2 linked regions of the Lonchura striata genome follow. The protein of the gene in region 2 interacts with the protein of the main gene of each other region in a pairwise test. Links are inferred from orthologs where the notes say so. Each region holds a gene or a part of one and is shown on either strand. Other genes may lie near its edges.

What was found.
Region 1: the proteins of BAG3 (region 2) and LITAF interact in binary tests that used the Homo sapiens proteins (3 or more experiments, as listed by UniProt). The two-hybrid records come from large-scale screens. The link is inferred for Lonchura striata from reciprocal best matches to the Homo sapiens genes BAG3 and LITAF.

The regions. Positions count from the first base shown.
Region 1 is NC_134618.1:7,967,138-7,974,367, forward strand, and holds the start of LITAF (lipopolysaccharide-induced tumor necrosis factor-alpha factor), read right to left. Parts: upstream 3,018-7,230; 5' UTR 2,859-3,017; intron 1-2,858.
Region 2 is NC_134609.1:27,403,520-27,410,823, forward strand, and holds the start of BAG3 (BAG family molecular chaperone regulator 3), read left to right. Parts: upstream 1-4,304; 5' UTR 4,305-4,339; coding exon 4,340-4,510; intron 4,511-7,304. UniProt on the Homo sapiens protein: Co-chaperone and adapter protein that connects different classes of molecular chaperones including heat shock proteins 70 (HSP70s), e.g. HSPA1A/HSP70 or HSPA8/HSC70, and small heat shock proteins (sHSPs), e.g. HSPB8.

The sequences.
Region 1 (7,230 bases), on a different chromosome or scaffold from region 2:
TCCACATAAGTTTGGGTGAGACCCAGCACAGAAGTGCAGTGTATACAATGACACAAGCCTTTCCACTCTCCCAGAGCATGGAAAAGTCCCTGGAATAATGCTGATTACCTTCCTCACACAATACAGCTTTCATCAGGATTTCAGTCAAGTCTATAAACACTTCCACAAAGAACTTGTCACAGGTTTGTTCACTCTTCCAAGTTACACAGGACTACTCAGCTGCACTGTAGGCATGGGGATACACCAGGAAACACCTATGTTTATATACTTCAGGAGTCCCACAGTCTTCTCAGCAGATTTAGCAGAAATGTGGAAAGGTGTATTACAAAGGGAATTGTGTACTCAATCAAGAGTGTGTTTGATAGTAGTCCTGTGGCCAGGACAAACACAGGAGCTGGTACAGAAGAACATAAGTGGCTACAGGTGCTGTCAGCCTGGAACATTGCTCTTTCCCACCTTTCTCATACTCACACTGCAACTTTGGCAGAATGAAAACGGAACAAGACAGCAGTCAAAGATGTTGAAACTCAGTAAGATTTTGTAGCAACAAGTATTTCACAGCTATACCTTTAAAAAACACTGATCTGTTTTCTTTAGAAAAGAGAAGTTTACTCCTTGTGACTAAACTACAGAGCTGAATCACGATCTACTGTCCTCACTTGGTACGCTGGTGTTGGCTGGGGGTGTACAAGAAGCCAGGAGGGGACACTGCCAGAACAGCTGACCCCAGCTGACCATAGGGATATTCCAGACCATAAAGCATCATGCTCAGCAATAAAACCAGGAAGGTTTTTGGAGGGATGTGCTACTCAGGGACTGGCTGGGCATTCATTGGTTTGTTGCTGGCGAGCAACTGTTCTAATTTGCTTCACTTGCTGGATTGTATTTCCCTCTGCTACTCTCCTTTTCATTACAACTATTAAATTATTATTTTTCTTAATTATTTTATTTCAATTATGAGACAGTTCTTATCTCAACCCATGAGTTTTCTTACACCCATCCAGTTTCTTCAGGGGTGCATTGCGTGAGCAGCTGTGTGGTACTCAGTTGCCAGGTGGGGTTAAATACAAAACTACTTCAGCTGCTCAGATCTGCTTCACTGACAAGCAAGTTCTAAGAAACTGAAAGACACTCTTTCAGAGATTTCAAAATGATATAACTTCCAGCATGAACACTTCAAGTTTTGATATTTGCTTTATATTGCATGTTTATTTCTTACCACCAAATGGTTTTGAACAACCATTTCAAAGTAATCACTGTGCTTTTTCTGCACTTTCACTTTTTTTTTTTTTTTGTAGACAAACGTGAACAAGTCTTAGGTTCTTGCAGCACTTTGTAGCATCTCTTTTTTTTTTAAATTTCAAATCTGTAGCACAAATAACATGTACAAAATACTACAGTGAATGGTAAAAAAAATGTATTAACTCCTTCAAGTTATCTATCAAAACAAAAATTCCTAATAAACATCCAGATGACATCAGGACTACAAAAAAGGCCTCTTCAAAGTACCGCGTACTGCAGATGTAACCACAACTTCAGCTTTTAATTTCATTTTTCTCATGTCCCTTCTGCTTTAAATGCCAACACTGAAGAGCTATTTGAGCCACCACTTCATACAGCCAGTGCAAATGCACAAGTGTGTTTCACACTCCACATCTTGAAAATTAGGCTGGGGACAAGGGAAAAAGAAGGTAATAGCCCACCTCTCTGCTTGGTATGTAAAAATACAACCAACCAAAAACCCATCCAATAAGAACTGCTTACAATTACAACTATCCTAACGCAGTGTGGCCAAACAAATGTGTTGCTGCCCTTCCCTTAATCTCTTGCAAAATCTGACACAACTTAATTAAATTAAATTAAATTAAACAATTCCTACACAGTCCTCTTCACTAGAAATCCCAAACAACCTTCCAACACCACGGGTGGTTTAGAGGGTTCCCTGCACATCAGAGTCTAAGACAGATACTGGTCAGCAACACTGAGAATGAAATACAGGTTGAAGGCTATTAACAACCCAGCAGGATATACAGGTTTATCAGAGCACTCGGATTTTTGCAGTGCAAAGCCCTAACACAGCACCTTCTTGGACCACCACTTCGTCTGAACTCTGGACAACTTCCTAGTTTACCAACTTGCTGAGAAATACTATCTCAAAGTTGTTTACATTTCCCAGGCATTTGTGAGAGAATAAAATCCAGTAATCACAACAAAAAAGACTCTGACATATTATTATTTCAGGAAGAACCAATGGCATTGTGGTCACATTGAATTTTGTACTGTCATAGTACAAATAGAATCCGCACGGTGTGTTCCGGCGGCAGAAGCGATTTCAGAGGTTAGAGTGCTACTTCTATCAAGTAATCAATAGTTTTGGAATAATCCTGTGAGTGGCTTAATCCTGTGAGTAACCCGCTCCTCGGGGCAGGGCAGGGCCGGTCTGAGAGGAGCTGCTGCCGCGAGGATCCCGAGAGCATTCCCAAAAGAAAGGGGCCACCTTCCGCCTGCCACACTCGGGAAAGCGAAACTCCGGCCTCGCTCGGCCCCCGCCCGCATCGCCGAGGGCGGGAGTCGCCCAGGGCCTCTCCCGGACCGTCCCGGGACCGAGACCGGGACCGTGCCGCTCGGGACGCCGCTGGCCCGCGAAGCCCCAACCTGCCCGCGGTGCCCCGGGGGCTCCTGCGGGGCGGGACCAGCCCAGAGCCGCGGCTTCTCCCCGTCCCCGCCGCCGGGCCGGAGCACTGGGAGCGGCGCGGAGGGCAGCGCCGGCGCGCAGGAGCGGCCCCGGCGGCGGAGCAAAGCCCCCCCCGCCGCGTTCTGCCCTGCCCGCGGCACCGCCAGGCTCCGGGCTCCCTTACCGTGCCGAGCCGTGCTCGCCAGCCCTCCTCGCCTCCGCTCGCCCGGGTGCAGCCACCGTCAGCACGGATTGTCCCGTCCCGTCCCGTCCCCACCCGCCTTTCCTCCTCCCCTTCCCCTTAGAGCCGCGAGCAGGCGCCGCGGGCGTTGCCCCGGCCGGGCCTTGCCCCGACTCCCTCCCCTGAGCCATCGGCTCCCGGCAGCGTGAAGGGAAGGGAAGGGAAGAGAAGGGAAGGGAAGGGAAGGGAAGGGAAGGGAAGGGAAGGGAAGGGAAGGGAAGGGAAGGGAAGGGAAGGGAAGGGAGCCTGTGGAAGTACAGGCACTCCTGGCGCATTTCGCAGTCACGGCGATCGGCAAACTTTAGCAGGGCCTATCGCAACAGGAAAAGATATGATGATTTTAAAGTGAAGGAGGGGGTTGATTTAGATTATATTAGGAGGCTTTTATAATGTGGGTGGTAAACTATTGTCACAGTTTGCCAAGAGATGTGGTGGATGCCCCTAGAAACATTCAAGGCTGGGTTGGGCAGAGCTCTGAGCAACCTGGTCTACTGAAGGGTGTCTCTGCTCATTGTAGGGGCCTTGGACTAAATGATATTTAAAGATCCCTTCCAACCCACACTGTTCTGTGATTCTGTGATGATGATGTTGATGGGAGTAAAGATGGTTAAGCAAAGGTCAGATGGCCTTTACTGCTGCCTCATCTGAGTGGAGGAGGAAGCAATACTAAAGTATCGTGCTTCTGTTCTTCCTTTGATTCAACCATTAATCCTAACTCAGCCTGACCAACAGTAACTGAAACCCTCATTATCCCTCATTTACCTAGGAAACAGACACCAGCATGCAACTGAGAAAGTGCCTTCGTCCCCATTATCTAAGATGAAAGCAACAGGTAACCAATTGTATTTGATAACAGTCTCGCCTCCATTTATCTGAAAATACAAAATTGATATTTGGAATCCACCACGTAGAGGATGAGAATATTCCCCATAGCTCCCCATTTCATAAACAAGTGGATGGTTTTGCTCCTCTCTCCTCCCCAAAGGAGAGATCCCTCTTTAGTAAATTTCATGTCTCTGTGTCAGACCATACTTGGGTGAAACTAAGCTTAATTAACTGTGAAGTTAAGTGTAATGAAAAACTGAATTTTTCATTTAGCTTGAAGCAAACTTAATTAACTATTGGCTGGTGCTAATGCAGTAACAGCATTTTTCAACAGCAATTCCAAATTTGTATTCCTGTTGCTTCAATAAGTAGCACTATTTGTGAATCTGTGCCAAATTTCATAGTCTAATGGAATAGAGCTGCAGCCCAACCAACTACCTGGGTTAGGCCCAGGAAGCCCATGCAGCTTCCCCAAAGCTGTGTTGGCACCCACAGAAGTTCCCTCCCTGCAGCAGACTGGGTGACTGGGGGGGGACATGGCCAGTGCCAGCTCAAGGTGTAGATGAGGAAATGTGGCTAGAAACTGATACAGCTTTTTATCTCCCCTCCCCCTGCTTCCCCATGAGCTGTGTACCTGAAGATTATAAACATAACTAGTTTTAAAAAAATCGTAAGAAAAAAGGGCCCCATGGCAGTTTCAGAAGCCTGACACACAAATGCAGCAGGATGGATCCACAAGAGTTCTGCTCCATCCTCAGTTCCCATGGCACGGTGTGATCAGCAGCCTCACCTGCTCTAGTCGCTGTTCAGCTTCTCTTTGCTGCGTTGAGCCATCACCAGGGCTGCTAACAGCACCATGGAAATGTATAAAGAATATAGTGGATGTTTTGTCATCGCACTGATTGGACACATGCTATTGCAGAACACCAGCAGATGTCAGTTTAGCCCCAAAAATAATTGCGTGCTGGATTTACTAGCTTTTGCTTTTACAGCAGTAGGTTTCTGTAAAAGAAGCTAAATGATGTTTAAAAGTTGATGTACATTTAAAAGCCTTTTAGCCATATCTTACATGCTGTAGTATGTTCTCAATAACGTGTAAAATAAGTAAACCTTCATCTCACCTTAAATTTCTCCTGCCTAAAAATCACAGGACTTGCACACATACAAATAAATATCTTTTTATAAATGTATATAATGTTGCATATACTGATTTGTTGAAGCTAGATAAGGGAATGACTATGACTATATATTTCTATGACTATATACTTACAGAGTTGTACCAGAATGCAGTTTCAGAGCAATGATCAATGTACAAAGACAGATTTAAAGAGAAGCAAGGTAGATACATTAAACCAAATAATCTGATAGCATAATTGTTTTTTCTTAACTGCTGAAATGCTAAGCAAACAGAACAAAAACTCCAACACAATTTCAATAGTTAGTACAATGATACAAGTGTTGAAATTCCCATGAGAAGCCTCAAAGATGACAACAGGATCCCACACTTCAGTGTAATTTATCATGTTAAACAGAAGTAGTATATATCTAGTCTAAAATTGGAAATGATTCCCCAGAAAAGCAATTGATTAACAGAATTGTGAAATTAATCCAAACCTAAATATTAGTACTTTGTTGTCCTTCTAGTACTGCTTCCTTCTTAATTACCAACTCCTGTAGTGTTATTTGATCATCATAACTGATAACAGCTGCCAGACTGCAAAACACAGTACAGCAAAATATTTAAGCATGCAAATCATATTATCTTCCCTAGAGAGTGAGACAGAAGTGTGGTGTCAAAAGAGGTAATGATAGATTTCTTTTTCTCAGAACACTTGGCACTTCATGTAAAGGATTATGAGAAGAACAACCACTCACTGCCAGTAATGGTTCTCCTAGTATGAACAACTAGAAAGAAACGGTTATGATAGAAAAGTTTTACCTTTAAAAACAGCAGGTCTGTCTTGATAAAGTCATCCATTATTTGATAGATTGATTATCTATTAATGCCATGACAAAACAGAGAGGAAAATTATGATTCTCCAAACATTTACCCTTCAAATTCATCTTCCTACTCCCTTGACAGGGTACAGGAAGGATATGATTTTAAAAATAAAGCTGCCTGATTATTTTTCCTGTAGTCAGAACTGAAACATGATTTCCACTGCTCTGATGTCATTGCTGAATGAAATGGTACAAAAATCCTTTCTTCATGCCCTTCCTCCAGAATAATGCCTGACCTGCTGTTTGGCCAAGCTCTGGTATAATATTGGCAAAAATCAGCCTTGCCAGCTCGTATATCTGACACTGAAATCACTGATCTAAATCTTACAGTGAAGCTTCCTGCTACTTTGATTGAGGCAGCAGCCAGAAATGTTTTCATGAAGTGCTTTGATCCAACTCTGTGGATCTAAAGTGAGTAAGGAATGACACAGTATTCTCTGTGCTTAATTCTAATATTCACACAGCTGTCATCTGGACACCAGGATTATTGTGATTTCATTGGGATATAGGCAATAAATACAGAAATATGTATAAAGATTGAGATCATATTACTAAAAATTCATAGTTGTCCAATAAGACTTTCCTTCAGGCCTCAAATACCTCCTTCTCTTAAAGTCTGTTTCTAGCATCACTCACACATTATATTAAGCTATATTCCAATAAGCATTTATTTTCTAATGCTTCTCTCACTTTATGAGTTACCAATATTGAATTATATAATAGTCTATAATTTCTAGGTTTTTTTTCTTAGGTTACTTGATTTAAGGATATCTTTGACATCATGTTTAGCATTTCAGCTCCCCACCTCTGGTAGGACTGCCTTCATTGAAGCCACTTCAGTGAATCTCTCAAGTCTCAGGTCCAAAGGGGTCAGTTCCTGTTTCAGGAACTCAGACATTATATGCCATATCTTGTCACTTGGTACTGGCTGTCTGTAGGAAGCAGCAAGCCAGGAAGCATATCATCTGGGCACAAATGTCATAGCTACAGAGCTAAAACACAACAGCAATGTGAGCATTAACAGCCATTTACCAAACAGATGACTAATCATGGTGAAATGCAATCTCATCCGCCATTGCTACACAGTAAGAAAACACTTCCCCAGATCTTGTGCAGCCTCGAGTGGCTTGTTACACTGGATGCCAAATATTTAGGACACTCCTTGTTTGAAATGAAACCTTTTGTCTTTTCAGACCGATCCTTTATGATAAACAAAGCAATCAGTAAACAATTGAACATGCTTACAAAGATTGGTAAAAAAGATGAGTGAACTAGAAAGCCTCAGGTAGGCTGGTGAGAGCTGGCTGATCTGCTGGGTGCAGAGATTCTGCAAGTCTTGATTGCATGCACAGCTCTTCTTGAATTTGCCCTGCAGCAAAATCATGTGGTCTGTGACACAATCACAACAGAATCTGTGGTTTAAAAATAAACTGCTTCTCTGCAAATTTATGGCTTGGTTTAGTCCAGCTTATAAATAAGTGTCCAGCAC
Region 2 (7,304 bases):
TTCTGCTATTGGGCACCCTCAGGTCTGGAAATGATACTGTTTTGGACCAAGATTTGCCAGTAAACTTTGGAAAAATGACTCAGATGTTCCCAAGCACATTTGGACCGTGGCAGCCCGGAGTACAGCAGGGCAGATTATCCACTAGGTGGGAGCCTCTCAATTCTAATGGGTGCTGGCCACCGTGGCAATTAAAGCACCGGCTCAGACCGACTCTCCTTCATCCTCCTGATGTCCAAGGAAGACAAAGTTCTGTTCCCTGGTTAGACCCAGACACTCCTAAACCAAAGAGCTGCCTCCTTAGGCTTCTATCTGACAGACACTGGAAGAACAGAGAATGAGCAGCCCAATAATGCCTATTTTGGAAACATTAATTCACTTGGCATGTGCCATATCATGACATATTAAGAGAATGAGTAGCTCTAAACATTCAAGTTGTCTTATGCTGCCTATGCTTGGAATTGAATTTTGCTTTTGTTGCATACAGGTCACAGAAATTAAAGCTGGTTTTGCAGTGTTCACAGCCAGATTTGCTCCCTGGTTTATGACAAATTCATTCCAGGTGGAAATAAAGAGGGAAAAGAAAGTAAAAATTGTGCTGGGATTAGCTCCTGCAGTATTTTTCAAAAAATCTGAAAATTTGAAATCAGAGTACGTGCTTTGGGAATGCAGAGCTTTAGTGTAGTTGCAGTGTGATTCCAACACGTACATTTAAAAAGCTTTTCTCCATTTAAACAGTACAATTAGCACTCTAATTTCTTATTTATACTTTGAATTTTCTATTAAAGTTCATAGGAAATATATTTATCTATCAAATGACTTGCCAGTTACTGTGACTCCAACAAGCAGATGGCATGATCAAGCTCTAAGAGCCAAGCAATGTCAGCACCATGCAGCAGTCAGAGTGAGATCAGACCATTTGTGGATGGCTTCATTCACCTACTTCTGTTCTCCACTTCACCACCAGTTACACTAAATTGTGTACCAAATACTAGAGATCAAATCTGAAGTGGTCTGTAGCAGAAGTGGCAGATTAGTAAAAGATTAGCAATCACTTTGCATCTTTAATTTTCTCAAAGGCAGGCCCCAATTGTTTCAGTGGCCCAACAAACAGTTCCATGATTGCGAACAAACCATGAAGCCAAACATCTGTACAGCTCTGGTTACATCAAGTCATAAGTGGGACCTGTTTGCTTGTAGCTTAAAAAGTTCATGCACCTGGAGCTATTCATACACCTGGATATTCAAAATATAATCAGTGAAGACCTGGGCTACTCAGTGATACTCTGCATAAAACATCAAGAGATGGAAATCATGCAGGTCAAATTCATCATGTCTCTTGAATCTGAGGATTGAGAAAGTCTGTGCTTGTTGCATTTATTAGGAGTGTTTATATGACTCAAATGCACCCAGCAGAGGACTTGGACTGGAGCCTGCTTCACAGCACAGCGCTCGACACGTGCCAGGCACGTCACTCACCCAGGTTCATCAATGCCAGCTCTCTGCAATGCTCACCCAGAACAAACACCTGAACTCCCAGTGCTGCTTAACAGAGCCTTTCCTGCTCAGGTGACCTGTGAAAGTGCTGCAGGTACTCAGGAGGTAGAAAGCTGATCTGGATCTCACTGCAAGAAGTGTTGTTTCCTGACACACCAGAGAGATCTGCTTGATTAATGCAGTGAATAACAATTCTATTGCAACAGTGCTGCCCTGTACAACCTGAGCTAGAGCTGCTGTGCAGCTGGGAGGGAGCTCTGCAGCCCGTGTTCAAGTCAGAGAAACGTGGGTGACCCTGTAGAGTAAACCCACTCTGGGTAACTACAAGTACATGGTTTCTAGTTGTAGTGGAAGGCCCTGGAGCAAATGTTTAGTTTGGTACTCCTGGGTGTGTGAAGCGCTGTGCAGATAGGAACCTGGATAAGTCAGGAGTGCTGTGTTTGCACTTACATGAAGAACACAAAAAGTAGAAAATGCCTCTTGAGCATTTTCCCTTCTGAAATAGAGCACAAAGACCTTGAGCCTGGAGTCTCATCTGAGATTAGCCAGACACTACAGAGACTCACTTATCTTAATAACAGATTTTCCTGAAGCCAAGATTTTTGCTTGGCAGTATTTCCTACATGGACATTTTCATAAATCATTCTGATCTGAAGGATGGCTAATGACAACATGAACTAGAAGCCACATTGCCTCAGGGTCACAGCTATGGCCCAGTGACACCCCATCACCAGAGAGCAAACAGTGAGTCCCTGTGTAGATATCCTGTGTAACCTGCCTCACTGGCAGTGCTTTCACCTGCACAGGAAACCAGGCTAAATCCTACCTGTCAGGAAAGACAATTTCATTAACAGAAAAAGTGTGATGTCTTGCCAACTAAATTCAATCACTAAAAGGCTTTTCCCTGTCAGCCCAGACTGTTCTGTTTCCAGCTGGATGCTTGTCGACCCTGCAGCAGCTCGAATGAATTTTGAATCACTAGCCCATGATAATTTCTGTGAAATTATCATGGGCTAGTTTCTTTGTTTCTTCGTAGGGTATGCCCCCACAAAAATGTCCAACTTAAGTTAGATATCCCTTTGAAATTTCCTTTAATTAATTTTTCATCTACTTGCTGACCGTATTCATTAGCTCTGCTGAGTATATGGTTGGCTGCCAGCTGCAGCAAAATAAAAGACCCCCCCCATTCTTCGTGCCTTTGTTTACATTCCCTCAGCTACAAACCCCATCTGTATCACTTCCTCAACTTACAAAAGTAATTTTCCTGCAGGACCTTTTTAACATCTGTGTCCCCTGTGTCTGAATCAGCTGCTTTTGTTGATTTGGAAGAGACTCTGGCATATGCTACAGGGAACATATGGTCTAAGTGTGCCTTTTTGTTGCAAAACCGGGAGTGAAATTCCTCTGCACATTGGAAGCAGAATAAATCGCTGATATTACTCCATTTGAGGCTACTGCTGACATTGCTGAGGCTGAGCAGAGGTTTTATACCAGACAGCATAAGAGGCAGCAGAGGTAGAAAACATGGCCAGGGACAGGCACCAGTTCAGGACTTTGAGATCAGCAAAGTTTGGGCTTTGTTGCTTAGAAAATAGGTAAGTCAGGAAAGGTGATGGCAATACAGACATCTGCAAGTAAATGCTCCGGGAAAAAAATTATCCATTTATAATACTTAGGAGTCAAAGGCACACAACAGTGGGGACAGAAAAATGGGTCTGTGATGGAGCAGTGCGGTCCTGACAGCAAGGGACACGCAGGATGGAAGAGCTGCAGGAGTGAAGGAGCAAGTGTCAGCAACTACTTGGTTTGTCAGTGTGATAAACAAAACCTCCTGTCAAAAAATGAATGACCATCAGTGGCAAGCAGTATCAGGAGATCTTTGATCCTGCCTTGAGCAGAAGGAGATCCTGGCTGTGCTCAGGGGCGTGAAGAGCCAGGGGTCTTCTTGAAGTAAGAGATACTTCAGTAATAAGCATCTGCCTCCAAGGGATCCATACTTAGAATTCCTCGAAGCAAAGTTTTGCAGAAGGTAACTTCTGCGTTTGAGGGACACTGTGCATTCACTCTTCTACTTAGAGTGACTATCAACAGGCATCTGCGGCTGCTCCTGTGACTGTCAGATGACTGAAGTGGTGCAGTTGAGAAGCACAGTTACCTCCAACCAAACCCACTGAGTGCATGACCTGCTGATAGAGCACCCATCAGAGAGCCAGTTTTAAACCTCACAGACACACTCTTTGCCTTCAGGTGTATTTCTACGGGAAACTGAGAACTGAGACACGCATTTGCAAAGTGCTGAGAAAGTTCAAGCCAGTTGAATCCGAAGAACAACGCTTGCCCACACCCTCACTTAAGAAGCATTATTTTTGTTGTTTATCTGCCATAACCCCGAATTATCAGTCACGGGGCAGGGCGTTTTGGGGAGGAGCGTTGATCTTTCGCTCAGAGCACGGGGCAGTAGGTCGGAGCTGCCTTGCCAGAGCGCCGGCGGGCTGCGGGCTGCCCAAGGACGGCTCGGGGCGCGGCAGGGACCGGCCGGAGCGGGAGCGCAGCCGGGCTGGGCGCTCACCGCGCGGCGCCGGCGGCGAGCAGAGCCGGCCACGCCGCCCCGGGGCGTTCCCAGCCAGCCCTCCCCGCTGCCCCGGGGGGCTGCCGAGCCGCGCTGGACACAGCCAGAAGTTTCCAGCCGGCGGCTCCTCCGCCGTCCCCCGCCCTCCTCCTCCTCCTCCGCGTCCCGCCCCTCGTCCCGCCCCCGCCGCCGTTTCCAGACAGTTCCAGCCCCGCGCCCCCGCCCCCCGGCCCGCGGCGGATAAAGCGGCCGGCGCGGCCCGCGCTCTGCCCCGCCATGAGCGCCGCCGCGCAGAGCCCGCCGCCGCCGCAGATGGAGGGCAGCGCCGAGCCGCTGCCCCCCGGCTGGGAGATCAAGATCGACCCGCAGACCGGCTGGCCCTTCTTCGTGGATCACAACAGCCGCACCACGACCTGGAGCGACCCGCGCCTGCGGGCGGCGCCGCAGGTGGGGCGGGCGGGGGTGGCCGGGCCGGGGTCCCGCGGGGCGAGGGGGGTCGGGGCCGTGCGGGGAGGGCGGGAGCTGCCTTTTGGCTCTGACGCACTGCAGTCCCTTTTTTGTGCATTCAATCATTCGATACCTCGGCCCTGTAATGTTTATTTAAAGTTGGTTAAGTCCGCCCGGCCTCCCGGGGAGAGGCGAAGCTGATTTATTTTTCAGCTGTGAACTGCCCGAACGCTGGATGCCTTTAAAAAAAATGAGAGATCCGGCTCGGGCTCCAACTTATTTTTTCTTTTCCCGTTTTCTTTTCCCTGGTCCCAAACTGCCGGCAGCTGCCGCTCCGGTTTTGTTCCGAAGCACGCTCGGGGAAAAGCCGCATCTCAGTCCAAATATGTCCATGGAAGGAGAGGCGCGGAGGGGAGAGCGGCCGGGGCCCTGCGGAGTGACCCTTTCGGGTCAGGTTCCGCGGCTTTTGGGGAATACAGCCCGTTCCTTGGCGGAATACAGCCCTCGGCCCAACAGCGCGGCGGCTGGGGGCAGAAAGCGCTGGAAACTTGAGCCTGGTGGGATTTGCCTGGTGGGAAAGCGATTCCCCGGGGTCTCGGCGCTCTTCTCCGCGCGGAGCATCGCGTAACCGCGGGCTGACCGCTCCGCCGCGCTGCCGGCCGGGGGCTCGGGCACGTCCCGGGCGCGGAGCTCCGCGGGGCTGCACCGGAGCCCCGGGGGGAGCCCCGGGGTCGGGCTCTGTGTCCCCGCAGCAGCGGGGAAGGGGCCGCTGGATGCGGCATGCGGCTGCTCCGGATCTCTGTTGAGTTTTTCTCCCCTACAACGAGAGGAGCGACGCGCTCAAGGAGTGTTAATTATTTTATGAACTTGCCGTTTCTTAAAATAGTAATTGCCCGGTTCGCGAGCGCGGGCCGTGACTGAAAGCTCGGTGCGAGAGCAGCTGGCCTCGGCAAGGAAGGGATGTGTTTCTCTATCACAAATTAACCCCCTTTGCAGCTCTCTAAGTGCTAGTTCGTTTGGTCTATAAATAAATTATAGTAATAATACACAAAGGTCTTAGAAAAATGGAATTTGAAAGTAAGAATATTGAGAGTAGCATAGGAAAAAGTGCTTTCTCTCCTTTATGGAGGCACCTGCTAACACTCGCTGTTGTGGTAGTAAAAATAAAGATGGTGTGGTTTTTATAGCCATAGAACGTACTTGAAAAGAAAAGTGTGCTGTTTCCTGAAAGGGTTTTGTTCCAGGAATACCACTTGAGACTAACCTATTTAACAGAATAGTCAAATTCAAGCTGCTTTCAATAATGGTGTGAAGAGAGTTGGAAGCTGTCTGGTGGATCAGCCCTCTGCTTGAGTGGGTGCCTGAAACAAAACAAATTTTCACCCCTATCTCGTGTGAAATCTGTGGTGATGAGAAGTGCCTCTTCTATGGCAAGGGCTGTCACAGGTAGAAAAAGCTGTATTTGCTTTTGAACAGCTTTTGTGGGACACACTCTTTTCCAAACAGGAAAATCTGTTACTCCTGGCTGCAAGCTGGAACGTGTGCTTTGGGTTTGTTCACTGTGAGACAGGGAAATGCCTCCAGAGATGAGCTGTTGTTTTTTGGGAGTTCCTAGCTAAAAAAAGTCTTCCAGTTTATGGTGGTAGAAGTTGTGTGTAACTGCTCTCACATGGGCATTTATCAGAGCCTCGAGTTAAATGTGTCTGCTGGAATTCATGGACAGCTGCTGAAATCATCAGTTTGTTGAGTACCAGTGTATTCCACAAGGACAGGTACTAGTTAGCAAAAGAATCTTAGAATCAGGCCCAAGGGAAATACGTCCTTTTCTAAATATTCTCTTAGCTGGGCAATGGCAATGAAAGCAAATTACCCATTGACATTGACTTCCAAATCCAACAAGGATTTTTGAAGATGCCAGACTTCTGTTAATACCTAAACAGATAGGAAGGACATAACCACAGATGAAAGCAAAAACCAGATTTGATGGGTAGAGCTTTCTGATTTCCTTCATTATTCTCAGCCTAGCTCAAATGAGAACTTGGGGTTTCTAGAAGTGATCTGAGAATGACAAAAGCTGACTGCATGTGTCAGACTTCATGCACCTTTTCAAGAATGATTATACGAAGGTCAAACTTGTGCTGACTTCATCACTGCATTGCTTTCACTGAAATATGACAGTGAAACTAGAAAATTTTTGACCACCTTTGAGGTGGTCTTGCAGTAAATCCACCAATATTCTGTCTGTGAATTTTTGTTCCCTTTCAGAAAAGATTAGGCAATGAAATGTGGTATTGCACACTAAGTGGACAATGACTGGAGCACAGATCTAGGGCTAACTGAGCTTTTCTATCTAGGTAAGAATATGGCTGAGACAGTGTCATAACAAAGTCCTGTTGTTCCCGAGTGCTTGATCTTGGCCTTCTCACTTACCCTGGGCTTAACATCAGTGTAGCCATGCTGGCTGCAGTAATCTGTGCCAGATACATAATCGGGTAAAAGTTGAAGTGGCTCCTTTGAAATTGTAACCCATGTCAAAGCCTTTTTAAAGCAACGAAACCAGACCTTGATTTTGCATTTAACTCTGTATTTTAGGTGCATTTGTGAATTCAGATGGCTCTCGGTTATTTCCCACTCAGTCTGGCCTTTTTTTTTTTTTTGTTTTTTACTGACGTGAAGGATGGGTATTCTTCTGCATGTTTGTTTCTGTTACATATAAGAAATCATGGCAGCATAAGGATGGCTTGGGGAGCCCTTCATGAGAAAGAGGGAAAAATCTCATGTTGTTTCAGTGAGA